3 linked regions of the Arabidopsis thaliana genome follow. The protein of the gene in region 2 interacts with the protein of the main gene of each other region in a pairwise test. Each region holds a gene or a part of one and is shown on either strand. Other genes may lie near its edges.

Evidence for each region.
Region 1: the proteins of PK1 (region 2) and TIF3H1 interact in binary tests that used the Arabidopsis thaliana proteins (3 or more experiments, as listed by UniProt).
Region 3: the proteins of PK1 (region 2) and TAP46 come close enough for resonance energy transfer, tested with the Arabidopsis thaliana proteins (one study listed by BioGRID).

What each region holds. Positions count from the first base shown.
Region 1 is NC_003070.9:3,607,094-3,612,625, forward strand, and holds TIF3H1 (translation initiation factor 3 subunit H1), read right to left. Parts: upstream 3,524-5,532; 5' UTR 3,207-3,523; coding exon 3,197-3,206; exon of another isoform or gene 3,081-3,196; coding exon 3,001-3,080; intron 2,835-3,000; coding exon 2,718-2,834; intron 2,619-2,717; coding exon 2,515-2,618; intron 2,429-2,514; coding exon 2,362-2,428; intron 2,089-2,361; coding exon 1,955-2,088; intron 1,870-1,954; coding exon 1,821-1,869; intron 1,685-1,820; coding exon 1,613-1,684; intron 1,523-1,612; coding exon 1,421-1,522; intron 1,336-1,420; coding exon 1,268-1,335; intron 1,083-1,267; coding exon 930-1,082; intron 850-929; coding exon 792-849; 3' UTR 538-791; downstream 1-537. Other genes in the region: Z-ISO (15-cis-zeta-carotene isomerase), read right to left, coding at 1-356; AT1G10850 (Leucine-rich repeat protein kinase family protein), read left to right, coding at 5,135-5,532. UniProt on the Arabidopsis thaliana protein: Component of the eukaryotic translation initiation factor 3 (eIF-3) complex, which is involved in protein synthesis of a specialized repertoire of mRNAs and, together with other initiation factors, stimulates binding of mRNA and methionyl-tRNAi to the 40S ribosome.
Region 2 is NC_003074.8:2,650,784-2,655,939, forward strand, and holds PK1 (protein-serine kinase 1), read right to left. Parts: upstream 3,430-5,156; 5' UTR 3,326-3,429; exon of another isoform or gene 2,809-3,325; 5' UTR 2,581-2,808; coding exon 1,975-2,580; intron 1,890-1,974; coding exon 1,807-1,889; intron 1,718-1,806; coding exon 1,423-1,717; intron 1,339-1,422; coding exon 1,234-1,338; intron 1,107-1,233; coding exon 798-1,106; 3' UTR 538-797; downstream 1-537. Other genes in the region: AT3G08740 (elongation factor P (EF-P) family protein), read right to left, coding at 4,005-4,123, 4,220-4,301, 4,395-4,496, 4,612-4,689, 4,779-4,885, 5,067-5,147. UniProt on the Arabidopsis thaliana protein: Downstream effector of TOR signaling pathway involved in osmotic stress response. Could be involved in the control of plant growth and development. Phosphorylates the ribosomal proteins P14, P16 and S6.
Region 3 is NC_003076.8:21,484,780-21,489,985, forward strand, and holds TAP46 (2A phosphatase associated protein of 46 kD), read right to left. Parts: upstream 3,264-5,206; 5' UTR 3,091-3,263; coding exon 2,995-3,090; intron 2,852-2,994; coding exon 2,729-2,851; intron 2,438-2,728; coding exon 2,351-2,437; intron 2,232-2,350; coding exon 2,127-2,231; intron 2,021-2,126; coding exon 1,859-2,020; intron 1,776-1,858; coding exon 1,740-1,775; intron 1,656-1,739; coding exon 1,584-1,655; intron 1,492-1,583; coding exon 1,211-1,491; intron 1,131-1,210; coding exon 875-1,130; 3' UTR 538-874; downstream 1-537. Other genes in the region: AT5G52990 (SNARE-like superfamily protein), read left to right, coding at 1-227; AT5G53010 (calcium-transporting ATPase), read right to left, coding at 4,120-4,171, 4,259-4,335, 4,425-4,526, 4,605-4,733, 4,928-4,973, 5,178-5,206. UniProt on the Arabidopsis thaliana protein: Involved in the positive regulation of the TOR signaling pathway. Acts as a negative regulator of PP2A catalytic activity. Plays a positive role in the ABA-regulated inhibition of germination, probably throught its interaction with ABI5.

The DNA of each region.
Region 1 (5,532 bases), on a different chromosome or scaffold from region 2:
GTGGAATTATCGATCCAAACAACATTGAGGATAAAGAGAACAACTCCAAGGACAACACCGAAATAAACCCAGGAAACAAGCTTCTGTTTCCCTAATTCAAAAGCAGCAGAATCTTCACCGATCAGTAGAGTAGGACTACTCTCGGAGTCAGAGGCGATGGGTTGGTCTTCCCGGAGAGTGCTACGAACCAGAATTTTCCGAATTACCGGTGACGAAGAAGAAAGCAAGCTGGTCGAGTTTCCGAGGCGAGGATGAGCTGGGATACGGCGGATTAAGGTGAGGTTAGGGCGGCGAGGAGAAGGAGGGAGAAGAAGAAGCGAAGGTGGGCTCGAGAGAAGGAGATGATAAACCGCCATTGTTCTTGTTGGTAAACAATCTTTCGAAGAGGAAGTAATAAAAAGATGTCGTTTTTAAATTTCTTCAAACAATCGTCCGAAGAAGAAATAATAAACGTTGTCGTTCAAGGGATTTAGCGATGGAACTAACACTACAACTATAATAAAATCTCTATAAATTAGATTTTTTACTCTTTTGATTAGGATTTTGATAACTATGTATAATTTGTTGTAAGGCAATCAGAGGTCCAATACAAGATAAATCTTTCAAAACTTCAATAATTTTTCATTATGCATAAGAATAAAGATTTTTTTTGAAAAGCTTGTAAATTAAATTACTTCACAACAACAAAAATAAAAACAAAAACATCCACGAAAAACAAATATAGGATCCATTCTACCACCAAGTCTTTCACTTTCTGACTCAAAAAACAAAAACTTGGGTAGTCTTTGCAATCAGTTGTCGTGCAATGCTTTGGTCAGGTAAAGCCTGCTGAAGTTCTGGCCAGCCACTCTGCATAACAACAGGTCGACTCATTTTAAGTATCTTTCAAAGCTCCAAAAATGGTGAAACAATACTAAAGAGGAACATACCCATTGATTTGGCCACAGAAGTTTGAGACTTGGTTTGTGATGAGGAAACTCTCTAGCCTAGATGGTTCAGGGATCGCCTTAAAGATTGGGTTTGAAGGATCCTCTTCTGGTAAAGGCTCCTCTCCAGCTGATTTACGAGCCATGTTCTCCGTTCTATAAACCAAACACCTCTTTCATTAGTTGGAAGATCAAAAGGACAAGGAAAAGCTGAAGACAAATGTTACAAGGCATTCACAACTCTCGTAAGTAAAGTTGTATCACCTTCCAAGATAACGAGGTAGTGAAACTAATCAAACCTGAACTAGAACAAAAAGGTTCTGCAGAAAATATAAACCTACCTTCTCTTCTGGAGCCAGGCTTGCTGTTGTGCTTGCTGACGAGACAGGTTCCGGTAGTAATACTGGAACTGGAGAAATAAATTAAGATTTTGCGTTAAGATAGTTCGGACTTCTGATGATGAGAATTGAACAAGAGTGCAGAAGAAACCACACCTTTTGCTGTTCCATAGATAAATCATCCATGCATTTAATCAAAAACTCCATATTGTTCTCAAGGAAAGGAGTGGTTGATGAGTGTAGACGATCATAATCGCCCTAGAAAGGCGAAAATACAGAAGTATCAAGAGTCAAAATCTGCAATGCTGACAGCAAGCAAGGATCACTATCCAGATAGTAGTATTGTACCTGTGAGACAGGTGTATCAGTCTCCAGTTCGGTCATAAAGGCACTGACAAGGGCAGAATTTGAAACCTTGATCTGTCAAAGGAAAAGTAACAAACATTTAAACCACTTTTTTTGTCAGAGGAAAATATAATTAGGTAACAATTCCAACCTAGTGACTTGAAAAGATTAGCTGGTAAGAATTCAATATAGAAGAAAGCTAGAGACTTACAGGTATTTCCTCAAAAATATCCATCCAGGAGAAATTTTTCTCTCTCAACCTGAAAAAGATAGTGATTAAAACGTTACAACTATCATCCTAAGTGGCTCATAAAACCTAGATTTTCAATGGATCAAGATACATACTTCTCGCCAGTAAAGTTTCCACCTCGGTACAACTCCATAAAGGAATCTGAAAGCTTCAAAGCCTTCAAAGCTAAGACGCCTAGATCAGCTTTAGAGGGATCATATATGATGCACACACACCTCTTGATATTCTCCTGTAGATGCAGAAGAATCATTTCTTAAGAGTTCATATCATGATTCTGCAAGGGATTGTAACAGAGTTGCGGACAAAAAAAGTCTCAGAAAATATATTCATGATCCAATTTACATTCAACTTTTACACATGCCAATATACCTATCATACACTAGAGTAGCCATGCTATACATATAAATTTCCAGCTGAATGAAGAGCATAACATATGAACAGACCAAATCTAGAATGTTATAATGACATGGTAGACAGGATTCTTTAACAAAAAAAAAAGTACCTGGTAATTCATGAAGGTCTCAATCAGTTCCACAGTCTGATACGAACCAAGAACTGTAGATTGATACCTGAACAAAGAATTAGGCAGATCTAAATACATTCACAAGAAAAAATTTAACAAGTGAACTCAGACTGATGTCATTAAAAAACCTACCAGCCAACAGTGTTGTTGTCAACATTAACCTCCCTCAGACATCTCATCATCTCAAGCTGATAATTAGCACCATCAGCTTCAATTTCTTCATCATCATCCCTGACCTGTCCTCGTTTAAGATACAAATTCCAGTAAATCACATGTACATCAATCATGAACAAGCTCTTAAATCCTCACAATGCGTGTAAAATTCATCAACATACCGGGAAAGGAAAACAATTGGTAACTTCGAGGACGCTACCAACATCAAGTCCAAGAAGCTGTCCAGTGACAAGGGTCGGTGAAAACTCCTTGCAGTGTTTGATTATCTTTAGTACAGCCTATCACAATAGCAAACAAAATTCTCAGCATCACAACTTCCTACCAAATGATAATGGGCAAATTAGCTTCACCTAGAGAGTTTTTATTTATCAAACACCATCGGTCAGCAGAAAACGAGGAAAAACACTTAAAACCGTAAAATCAGGGAACACTAAGAAACGTTACCAGTCCTTCGATCTGAACAACTCTAAGCGGAGGAGCCACCGCCTCATCCTTCGATATCGCCTGCAGAAACGACCTAGCCACTGCAGAAATAAACCACGGAAGAAACTTAGCACGACATATACAGAAATCGTCAATAAACAGATGCAAATATTAATTCTATGTCCTAGTGAAGAACAGAGAGGATGATTATACTGACTGGTTGCCATTGAAATAGTCTCCGGTGATAGTGAAAGCTTCCTAGGTCAAAGAACTTGAATCTCCGCCGTGAAACCCTAACGATGTGATATTTTTACTGCCGGCGGCGGAGATGAGTAAGAGAAAGAACTTTATGTGTTTGATAGGGCTTCTCGAGGATCCGCAGATTTTTTTTTCCCTTCAATTTGGGTGTAGAGAGGAAAAAAAAAAAGCGTTTCGCAGTTAAAATTGCAAAAGAGCCCTAAAATTTGAGATTCTTATAGAATGATCCCTAAATGTTTTCCGACCTATAATAAGGATGGACCCAGCCCATGGACCTATAATGCTATTCTCTTGTAAAAGGCCAGGACCATAATATTCCTCAAAATATTGAACATTTAATTTAATAGCATGGGCCCATTACACTAACCAACTAGTCAAAACTTAGTAAGAAAAAACAAACAGTCATGGAGTCAACTAGAATCCAAAACTTTTAGAAACTTTCCCTCCAAATTCCATCCGGTATTAGGGTTTAATCGAAAAAGAGGACTAATTCAAAGTCTAATCTTTAGTAACCAACTTTAAAAAGTCTATAAGACATGGTCATTTCATAAGTCCGTAAGAAAATCAACAATGTCCTAAATAAACGGCAAAAACTAGAGAATCACCACTGGTATCAAAAAACGTAAAACCAAATATATAAAACGTATTAAATGTACTATAGTTTATTACTCGAAAGTCGAAAACCTTGATGATTCATTGAAGGTCAAAGAAGTCAACAATAATATTGATGCCAAATTAAATGACTGCAGTCTCTTTGCGAGGTTGGTGTTTGGACTGGTGGACCGCTGGTTAATAATTAACTCAGCCTTTACGTGAACTCAATTCTCACCTCTTCTTTATTACATTTTCATCACGCTTAAGCTAAGCAACTAATAAATTCCTAATTTAATAAACACTTCAACATCCTCGTTTTAGAGATTGAATACCAACCATGAATGTTAACACATCTTTAACTTTCCTCTCAAACAAAAATCCAACAATCTATATCCTCATTGTATAAATAACATGAGGTCCATATTAAAATACGATTAAAAATATTATAAAAACCATGTGAAGATTCAACAAGAAAAAGAGGTAGGAAAAAAAAGCAGCTCAATAATTGGTAGAGAGTGCAAAGAGGAACCAGACACCAACTGAATAAAATTGAAAAACAATGTCTCTCCTTACTTTAAATAAATCATCCCTAAAATTAATTATTCCCACCATATTTCTTCTGCTCCATACCACACTTCACCATAAAATCTCTATATAAATTTTCTCAGCAGCAGTAACTACCTTGGCCCCAAAACCTATCTGTCTCTGAATCTTGGCAAAGTAATAGCAACCATAACAATAACGACAAAAATATACGTGAATTATTTTTCTCTTTCTCCTTCGTCTCTCCTTCATAAACCCATTATTAATTTTTTTTATAATACTACTATTATTCATGAATGCATTGAAGATGTCACAGTGAGAACAAAAAAAAAGTTTTCCAGGCATGGCTTCACGTGATGACATCTTCCTCGACCAAGAACTTCGAGAAAAGATACTCAGAAAGTGAAGTGAGAGAGAGAGAAAATGCCGGGGAATTTTAATGCTTCTTCTTCTCTTCTTAGTGCTCACTACCAGAAGATTTCTTTCCGCCATTAAAGAGCAGAGTAGAGCAGAGCTCTCACTTTCTTCTTCTTCTTCTTCATTTTTTACCTTTCCCTTTTTTGCTTCGATCGAGATGCTTTAGCATAATGGGGCAGATCTGGAAAGTGACTTAATAATAGAAAGTGATGGCTTTGAGGAGATTCATGGGATGCTTTTTATGGAAACTCGATTTCGAACTGTATCAATCATTTCTGTTTCTTTTATGAGCTGAGGAAAAGAGCCACTCTTTCTGATTTGATTGATTCATCATTCATCGACAATGGCTTCTTCTTCTTCTTCTTCGTCTTCGAGTACGGTGTCGTTCGTAGTCTTTGCATTTACAGTCTTCTTCTGTTTGGTTACTCCGGCGAGATCTAGCGACGTCGAAGCTTTACTAAGCTTGAAATCTTCAATCGATCCATCTAATTCGATTTCTTGGAGAGGAACAGATCTCTGCAACTGGCAAGGTGTTAGAGAATGTATGAATGGAAGAGTCTCCAAGCTTGTTCTTGAGTACTTGAATCTCACCGGCTCACTTAACGAGAAGAGTTTGAACCAGTTGGATCAACTTAGGGTTCTTAGTTTCAAAGCTAACTCTCTCTCCGGTTCAATCCCTAACCTCTCCGGTTTGGTTAACCTCAAATCGGTTTATCTTAACGATAACAACTTCTCCGGCGA
Region 2 (5,156 bases):
TGATCATCCCCTCCCAAATAAAACCCCAAAGCCTTAGAATTCCAAAATTTCACCAGGACACGAGGTCGAAAGAAACCCTCGAGGAAACGAACTCTAATATCTGTAATTAAGACCTAGTCTATATATTAGGGAAAAAGCTGGCGCATAACACAAGCAATTTTCAAACAAATCCAGATATAGAGTAAAACTATGACCTGGACCTAGAAGGTTTCGTGTCGTGTAAATAATTTATATCCAGAAAAAAAAAGAATCTAAACTCTGCGAGAGAAAAGTCAAAGAGAGACAGAGAGAGAGGAATTACCAGAGAATATGCTTGAGGAAGGAGACGAGAAGGAGACGAGACAACTTTAACAGGAAAGAGGGTAATGTGCCAAACCAAAAAAGGAAAAGGTTTTAAGAAGGCGCGTGGCTACATTTTTTATGTCTTCCGAAGCATCGTGGATCATGGGGTGAGGACACGTGTTCGTGTTCTATTGGGAAACCGAACTTCTTCTTTGTTTTAGTGGGCCGGAATTCTTTAAGCCCATTACATTACAAGACGTTCAGACGGACACTAGTTCGGTCCAAAGGCATCACCGTTATCATCTTTTATATTTACACGTTTTCAACGTTCTTTTATATTACATCGTGGGTCAAAAGGTCAAAGTGTTAGCTGCTCTACTTAATCTCAATCAATAACAATCTCATAAAATCAATTATAAATTAAGCGTCTTGGTAACCAAAGTTTTCTTTAATGTTCATGTGTCAGAAGGAAACAACAACCAAAGAAGTAGGAACTACATAAAAATATAGTAAATCTACAAAGTAGTTGTGGACTGGTGAAGGAATGAAGGAGGAGGCCTGACGTAAGTGAAATTGGTAAAAGGGTTGGCCTTAGGATCCGAACTGGGACTGCTCGCCGGAGAATCCAAAACAGACATGTCAGTCCAACACTTGTCAAAATTTGCTATGCATTGCCTTCCCGATACTTCCGGCTTGAAACTTGGCATCACTTCTCTAGCCTCCAGCTTCTTCCAGTTTATTCCCTTGAACCATTTGTGCTGTTTTATCTCCTCTGCTCCGCTCAGTCCACTTCCAAGTCGCCTTTCTGGCTCTTTTTGCAGCAGCTATACATTCATTACAAAGTCAAGAGTCAGAATTGTTCTAAATACAATGCTTCATAGTTCTTAACTGCACAAAGATTTTCATGTTTACTGTTGATTCTGTAATCAAACTGCACCAACATTTACTTACCCCTTTCAGTATTGCATGAGCTTCATTAGACAGAAACTGCGGAAGCTTGATCTTGTCCTTCACAATTTTCTGCTGTATCTTTCCTTTGCTCCCGAGAAACGGTGGCTGCAGAAGGAAAACAAGACATCACACAACAATATACCAAGACATGAGGCTTCAAGCAAATTAACAATAGATAGCGGCTTTTACCTTTCCTGTGAGCATCTCATACAGAAGAATCCCTACGCTCCACCAGTCAGCTGCTTTATCATGTCCTTTTCCTCGAACAATTTCAGGTGCCATATACTCCGTAGTTCCGCACATGGAGTTTGATCTTGTGTTTTCTTCAAATTCCTTTGCTAAACCAAAATCTGTTAGCATCACGTGGCCATCTGTATCCATGAGTATGTTTTCGGGTTTCAGATCTCTGTGCATTATGCCTTTCTCATGGAGATGGGAAACTGCAGAGACGATTTCTGCAGTGTACACTCGAGCCAAGTCCTCTCTGCGAAAGAGTAAAATATAGAACCAATTAAGCTTTACAAAATTCTAGCGAAACTTCAAAAATGGTTCGCAAAAAGGAATTAAACAAACCTGAAAAGCCCTTGGTGATAGAGTTGGAAGAAAAGATGACCTCCGTTTATAAAGTCGAGCACAAGATACAGCCTGTACTTGGTCTGCAAGGGAATGTATAACGCTCTAAGTTAAGAAATAGTAAAGTAAAATAAATAGGATGCTAACAGAGAGAAGTGTTATATATACCTGAAAAGAGTATTTAAGTTGAACAATGAATGGGTGATCAATTTTTGTAAGAATATCGCGCTCAGCTTTCATGTATTCAGCATGGTTCTTCTCCATAATGTGATCTTTCCTCATGACTTTCATAGCGTATATCTCAGAGGTCTCCTTTTTCCTCACCTGGTAGACTTTCCCAAACGCACCTTTCCCAACAACCTTCATAACCTCAAAATCATCTATGCCTACTACACCTGAGACTTTCACCAGATCTCCCTCTAAAGCTTTCTCATTGTCACTGTCGTCATTACCAGAGAAATCATCATTTTCTTTTAAAGATTCACCTTCGAGACACTCCACCAAGTCAATTGAGTCCTCAGTCTCTAGTAAGGTGAGCTTGGTCAGCTTCAAAGAATGACTATCGAGCGAACACGGGCCAACCAAGGAGTGGGATCGACTGTAGACAACAGCAGGCTCGTCGTAAGCAATATCATTGGCCTCTTCGGGGAGTGGACCAAACACATCAGAGAACTCAAGTTCAACATCATCTTTCAAGACAGAATTTGAAGGGCTGATGGATAGATATTGCTGTTTCTGGATTTTGTTGGGGACAGGACGCTGAGAGGAAACCATAATTTACACGGGAAAAATCGATACAGAATCACTGAGAAAGCTGCAAGAGTTCACCAGCCTGGAGAGAGATTCTGTACCGACAGAAGTTAATGAGGAGAAAACTGACTAAAACAAAGGCTGGCAAAAGGCAATCCAATAACAAGGAGAAGAAGCTCTTGTTGTTTCCCGATTTTAAGGAAACAGTGGATGCTGCAGAAGTGCGCAAATGCCATGAAGGTTTTATAAGCTCTGCAAGTACATGAAAAGTTCACACATTTAAAGGCTATCACATGAACAAATAAGATCTGAGATACAGGATTGACCAAATCTATGAAGAGACGGTGTAGAATTAATATAAGCAAGTCCAGTGATCCTTTTACTAATTGAGATTTTCAGAAAACTTCGAACCCACATAAAAAAAGGGAAAACTTTCACAGCGATGACAAATCTTGAATAAAACCCAAATCCCTAACAATTTCCGGATTCAGAATCGGACAAAGATTAAAAATTCCACAGGACATGAAGCCGAACGAGACACTCGAGGAAAAGGAACTGCAATTTCGATAATTCAGATCTATTGGTAAGTAAAATTTCACGTAAATCGAGATCTACAGAAAAACTATGACCTGAACTTAAACCGTTTCGTGTCTTAGAAACAATTCATGAATTTTGGATAAATTCTATGGATCTAGAATACGAAAAAAGGAATCTTAACTATGCGAGAGAGAATTCAAACAAACATAGATAGAGAGGGAGAATTGATTACCAGAGGGGATGGCTGAGGGAGGAGACGAAGATGGAAATGAGGACGAGAGGAGAATTTAAGAGCAGCATCGCAGATCCAGGGGTTCATACACGTGGCCGTATCTTATTGGGAGAACGTTGACCAGTTGTTAAATATGCGGCGGAGGTTTTTTTGTCCACTAATTCTTTATTTATTTTAGTGGGCCGCCTTTCACCAAGCCCATTCTTCCTGACTTTTTGTTGTTTTTTAGATCATATCTTTTTTTTCCGGATTATGTGGATTTGAAATCCACAATGAGGAAATTTTACCAGCCATTAGATTCACAAAATACATCAATTTGTGAGAGACTGAGAGAGTATTTTGCGTATCCAGAGATTTTAGAAGCCATTAATCTCTTATTCCATTGAATCTCTCTAGCTCGATGTTCCTCATTCATTCTTAACCTTTCTATCATAAAAAATTTCATGCTTTTAAACAGTTACGAAAAGCATTAGGATTGACCAAATTATGTTAGTTCTTGTATGAATTTGCTGATTTTAATCAAACTTAAATATATATAAATTTATTTAATCGAAAAATTGTCTCTCGATGTTCAGAAAAACAAACATGTGTCCCCGGATTCGAACATTCTCATATACAAAAAAGATGTATCATTGCCTTGTTGTTAACGACCCAATTAACTAGGTGTAGTAGACCCGGATCACGCTCGGTTCATGTATGCACCAGTTCTTGTGTCCACAAATATCTCTTCACCGACGTTAATAAAGAGTGGTACAGCAACTATTGCACCCGTTTCCATTGTCGCCGGTTTTGATCCACCTACGAAATTCATCACCCCACTTGGTCAGTTTAAGCTTGTTTAAACCAAAACATGAGAAGAGATCTCTCAACAATAGATTGGTGCAACATTGTTACCTTGCACAGTATCACCGCGAAGGCCAGGATCAACGTCAACCACTTTTAGCTTAACTGTAATCGGTAGATCGAAATCGATAACCTTGCAAAGATCCAGAGAGAAACAAAGTTGGCATCACCGCTTAATTACGTGAACTATTAACTATTTTTACAGAGAAGCTGAAAGTGAGTGTACCTTGTCTTTCCAATAGAGCAAAATGCAATCCATTCCTTCTTTCAACCATTTCGTCTTCTCACCCATATCAGATTCGTTAAGACGTGTTTCTTCGTATGTGGTCTATATAAAAAAAAAGATTTGATAACCAAGAGAAAACGTAATCATTAGTACACAAACTTTAAGCTACTACTACCATACTAGCGAAGAAGAGAAGTAAGGATCCAATGTGACATACCAAATCCATGAAAACAAACTGAGACCCATCTTTGTATGTGAATTGTTTGGTTTCTTTATATATATTAGCTTCCTCAACCTGTAACATAGAATGGTCATAATCAAAATGGTGCAACTAAAAAATCATTCATCAGATTAAGATATAAGAGAAAAAGAGATGATTTTTACAGAAATTCCAGCACGAAATGTTCTCTCGACTGTGCTACCATTCACATAGTTCCTGATCTTAGTTCTCACAAATGCCGCACCTTTTCCTGGTTTAACATGAAGAAACTCTGCTCCAACAAAGCAAGAAAAAACCCTCAGTAGACTAGTAAGTAGCTAAGTGGAAGCATTATAACCAAAACAATGCTTAAATCGTCATGAACTAGTAATAGTATCTACAAATTCAGAAACCTTCCAAGTTCCAAGTATAGATAATAACATAAACTAAGAGGAATTGAGGAAGAAGAATACCAAGAACACGCCAAGGAGCACCATCGACTTCGATATTGGTTCCCGCTTTGATGTCGTTAGCAGACATAGAGCAGTGAATCCCTGCAAAAA
Region 3 (5,206 bases), on a different chromosome or scaffold from region 2:
AGGAGATATCAGAGAAGAATGTTGATTTATGTGGGAATGGTAATAATGGAGTCTTACGCAAGGAACTGAGAAATGGTTTGTTGAGTGATCATCATCATAGACAAAAGGCGAAACAGATTTGGAAGAAACATGTTTGGGTTGTGTTGATGTTTGATTTCTGCATCTGTGCTGTTTTGTTTGGAATTTGGCTTTGGATTTGTGAAGGGTTTCAATGCATTCAAGGGTAAAAGTTATCATCATCTGTGTACATCTCCAAATTCATATTCTTTGAATCTGCATCAAAATTTGATCATTTGACATCTTTTTTCTGGGTATCCGTTTTTTTGGATCAAATCTGATCCCTTTTGTTATCTCTCTGTTCTTGTCAACTTTTTTCATCTTCTTTGATTTTTAAAGTCGCAAAAAGTGTTGTTTCCAGGAGGAAAACTAGGGTATAGATTGAATCCTGGTTTACATGTTAATGATGTTGTTAATTGTACTTTGGAAGTTAAATCATTCACAAGCAAAATGTGTGTTGTTATTATCTCTTTTTTTTTTCTCGCTTCTCTTTTGTTGTTTGATTCCATAAATGGTGCTGTGATTGAACGTGGGTTACACAATAATAGAGGACAACAAAAGATGGTCTCAGATCCAGTCACACGTTAGTATTTTACTAGATATATACATTGTATCTTTAGTAGTCGGCGTATTTAAAAATAATATTCCCAACGAAAATGAAAGTGAATCCGTGAATCCAAAATCTGTAAGTCTAAGGCTTAAGAGTAGAAAGATGATTACATTACAGACATTATAATAAGTGAACGAAGAGGTTTTGGAAATAAGAAACAAAAGAGAGGGAGAAAGTGTTAAATAATGTGTGTCTCGGTCTCTAGTCTCAGCCACAAGGTGTGAGTTTCTTGTTACCTGCACCGCGAGGATTATCATCCTTCCAATCATCGAAAGCTCTAGCTTTCATCACAGCTTCTTCGTCTTCATCATCATCTTCCTCGTCTTCTTCTTTTCTTCTTAGAGGTTTATCATTGTACCATGAGGTGGTTGCTTCTTCAATGGCTTTTTTCGTCTGCTCTTGCCAATCATTCATTATGTTCATCTCTGTTAACCCAGCATCCTCTATGCACATTGTTGGCATCCTACAAAACCCAAGTTTAATCACCATTTTTAAATCTCAAAAAGGATTAAGATTTTGTAATGAGCAATATTTTGTGTCTACCTGTGACTTGGTTGGAAGACCTGAGCTATCATTCTTTCTCTCTCGGTAGAGAGCGGTCCACCCACGATGCTTGCTGGACCGAATATAAGAGGTTGGTTCTTGTGTTCGTGACCTTGTGATACCGAAGCTCTTCCTTCTAACACATCTTGTGCAAATGTGGCACAAGTGATTGGTTGTGCCGGTTTAGAGTACTGTATCCTTGCAGCAGCGTCTCTGTGCCAGGTTTCAGCTTTCTTTGTACGATCATCAAGAGCATCCCGAGAAAATCCACCCTCTCCATCCTGATCAAAATATCATAACACGTTTTCTTCTTTTATATGTTTATCAAATAGTTTTGTTCGCACCTAAAAAAACTAACACCACGGTAAGCTACCTTCAACTGTCTTTCCTTTATTGCAGAGAGCATTTCCTCTTCTCTCTTTAGCATTTCCAACAGATCAATAGCCTGTAACGAAGTTCAATCATAAGATAATGCCTCCTCAACTTGTGACAAATCATAGGGTTCTAATGAAATGATTTTTAGACAAACCTTACAAATAGCCAAGTTAATTGAGGAGAGCCAGGCCTGCAGAGGAAAGCAATAAGACAAGAAAGCTTAGAAGAAAAAATCGAATTAGAGAAAGCAGCAAAACAAAAAGTGGGACAAACCTCTCTCTCTTCTTCGCTGTCATCATCTGGAATATCATCTTCTCCAGATTCAACCGGAGTCGACAAAGCTGATGCTTTAGTGGAACGTCCACGTCGCTCCTTCCTCTCTTTAATTTCAAGAAGCTTTGCCTCTGCAGCCTTTTGACGTTTGAACCGAGCTATCTACAAAGTACCATAATCATGAAGACACAACACGCATTTCAAAATCCGAAAACTTTAAACTTCATTCTCGTCAGAACATAAACAAAAGAAACAGGGCTGAATCTACCTTGAGAGCCCTTCGATCAGCAGGTGCACCAGAACCTCCTCGTGAAGAAGCCTCCAACTCCTCATCCGGAACAAGCTCCATTGCCTCACAGAACGAAAAGAACTCCTAGACACAATAACAAAACTATACATCAATCTCAAAAAAAATCCAACCAAATGCTCATTCCCACTTGCAATAGCATCAAAGGGATACAAAAACATGTAAACACTCAGCAGAAAACTAACCTTCAACTTAGCATACGAGGCTTTGACAATCTGAATCCGGTCCTCCTGTATGATTTTCTCTGTCAACTCCGCAAGATAATAAGGCACCTATAATCACAAGACAATATAATCCCTCGTCACTTTATAGAAATGTCAACTCGCAACACAATCTTATGATCTCAACACAATCTTATGGTCTCCACACAGAGTAAGTTCAATGGAAAACGTTACAATCCAAAATCTCAGACTCCATTTTGAATTTCAGTCAGTAGCTAAAACTAGAAGCATCAGGACAAGCTAAAGTTTTTCACTTTCAGATCTTTCCACACCAAAACTAATAACAAAACTAGAATACAAACAAATTACAAAAATCCAAACAACAGAGACTCAATTGCATACCAAAAGATATTTGAGATTGTTGGTGCTAATATCTTCTTTAGTCTCGTTAGACGAAAACAGCGCCAGCTTCCCGATCATATCTTCGCACTTCTGAAACATCTCACATCCTTTCTTCACAACATCCTAACAAACCAAAGGAAAAGAATGAACTAAGCATCCCCGGAAATGTCCAATTCAGTAAAAACTCGCGATTCGGATTCGAAATACCCATTTCAGATAAACACCCTAATCGAATCTGTATATAAAAAAGAGGTAGAAGCTTCCACCTGATCAACACCAGACTCTGAAGCAGCAAGATGAATTTTCCTAGCTTGCTCGAATAGCACCGATAAAGGCATTTCCTCCATAGCCAAACCACCCATCACAGGCAACAATTCAAAATTCCTTAATGAAATCGAATCCACAAGAATCGAGTTTCTTCGAGAAGAGGATCGTCTTTTGAATTTTTTTAGGGTTCCAAATCGAAATCTGACTAATTTACCACGAGTACACACAGACAGAGGAGAGAAAATGTTAACCGCGAAGAGCTTTATAAGGGACGGTTGAGATTTTGCCGCGTCAGGTGAAGTAGATAACTCGAATTCTATTAGCCGTTAGATCTGTCCACAACCTCAAAAGTCAAAAACCGACTCAGTTGTATAAAAATATCAAGTCAAAGATCAGGTGCGGCGGGTGTAGTGTAAAACCGCCACGAATGTGATTGTGGCTATGGTATATGAATGTTTACTGTTTTTTTTCTTAATTTGAATGGAGATGAAATTTTCTTGATTTTTGTACGAGTAGGAGTATGAATAAACTAGTATCGCACCCGCTGTCTAAGCAGCCCGAATTGTCGTAGTGTTATTGATTCGATCGACCTATAGCAGTAAGGAATGGTGGATACCGATAACTAAAGCCACCTCAATCGCGGTGAATCAGCTGGATCCAAAGATTTAGGAACATCCAACAAACAATTCATGAATCGAAAACGAAGAGGTGCATTGATTGAACAGAGCTTACTATATATACTATATATGACTGTCACCCATTACAGTCTACATAGCTTGAAAGGGAAATGGATACAGAACTTAAATGTTTGACTTTCACGCATTTCACTCGACATATCTTCAAGAGGAAAATGAATTGACTGAATAAACTGTAGTATGCTATATACACAGCACAATAATCCGCATTATTTAATCTCTCACGCACACCCGCGCAGAGAACAACAGCCTCCTAAGCGACCAAAGCTAGAGGGATGCTTCAAAAGTTGACCTGAGATGAGAACTGCAAGTTGAGAGAAACTACTTGCCAGATCTAAAATAAGATAGTCATATGCGATTCATTAGGAGACTTTGGGAGTGAATGGTTCTTACTTCTTACGAGAATTGAGCCATACGGCAAGAGAAATCTCAGTTACGATGATATTGGATGGCTGGGTAAGGGTAGCGAGTGGCGACTTGGCTGAAAAAAGGTTAAATTTACGTATTGAGAAAAAATGTGAAGAGTAAAAAATTAAAGAAAGTAGTTGAGGATGTTTATGAGCAGAACCTGAGTAACCCCAAAAGACTTGTCGTCACCCATTTTTTCAAGTCAATGAAAATGCCTGCGAACTTGATCACGATTATCTGATATGAAAGAACAGAAAGAGAGTATATATGGTTTAGGGATATATAAGAAAAGACAAATGTTGTGTTCACTTGTAAAGAGGACTTACCTGAGATATGATAGTTGAGGTTATTGTAACGAGAAACATATTCTCTCTAAGGACTTCTTTGAAGGTTTGGTCTACACTTTGGATTTCAAACTCATTAAAAACCTGCGTTATTTTAGAAAGATAGAGAGATGATCAACATATGAACTCTAATTAGAAGAGTGGGAAAAAATCAGATATTACCAGGTAGAAGACAAAGGAATTGAATATCAATGTGTTCATCATTTTTTCGGCATTGCCCGTCTGACCATGCTTCAGCTTCAGTAGCTTCTCAGAATTTATGAGTACCAGCGAGAGCACTAGGTAAAATACCTGGAGGAAGGTATTTCATGACACAAGCATTATTAGAGGTCTCCAAACCAGTGTGTTTGTCTCTAATCTAAATAATTAATTAGTTTAATATCACCAAGGAATTGTATTTGCTCCTTGGAAACTATGAAGGTGTGAAATACTTAATCTGACATTAACGTCCACACATGATCAATCGAGGATTTTACCCTACATACCTGAATTATCATCTTGGACCACATCGTCTTGGTTATAAGAGGATCTCTGAAAAACAAAAAATGTACACATGCATATGTACTATCAGTTTGTGTATATTCACCTAGAACAGATAGTGTGTTTTAACAAGAATTGCAAAACCAACAGTTTCTTCAAAACCTTCAGCATCAATACATTAATGTCTCTTTCTAAGCCAACTCTATATTGACTTAATAATCAAATCTTATCCTTGATCCTATTCAGAATTTGTACCTTATACCAACCGGTGGCTTTCCCATTAG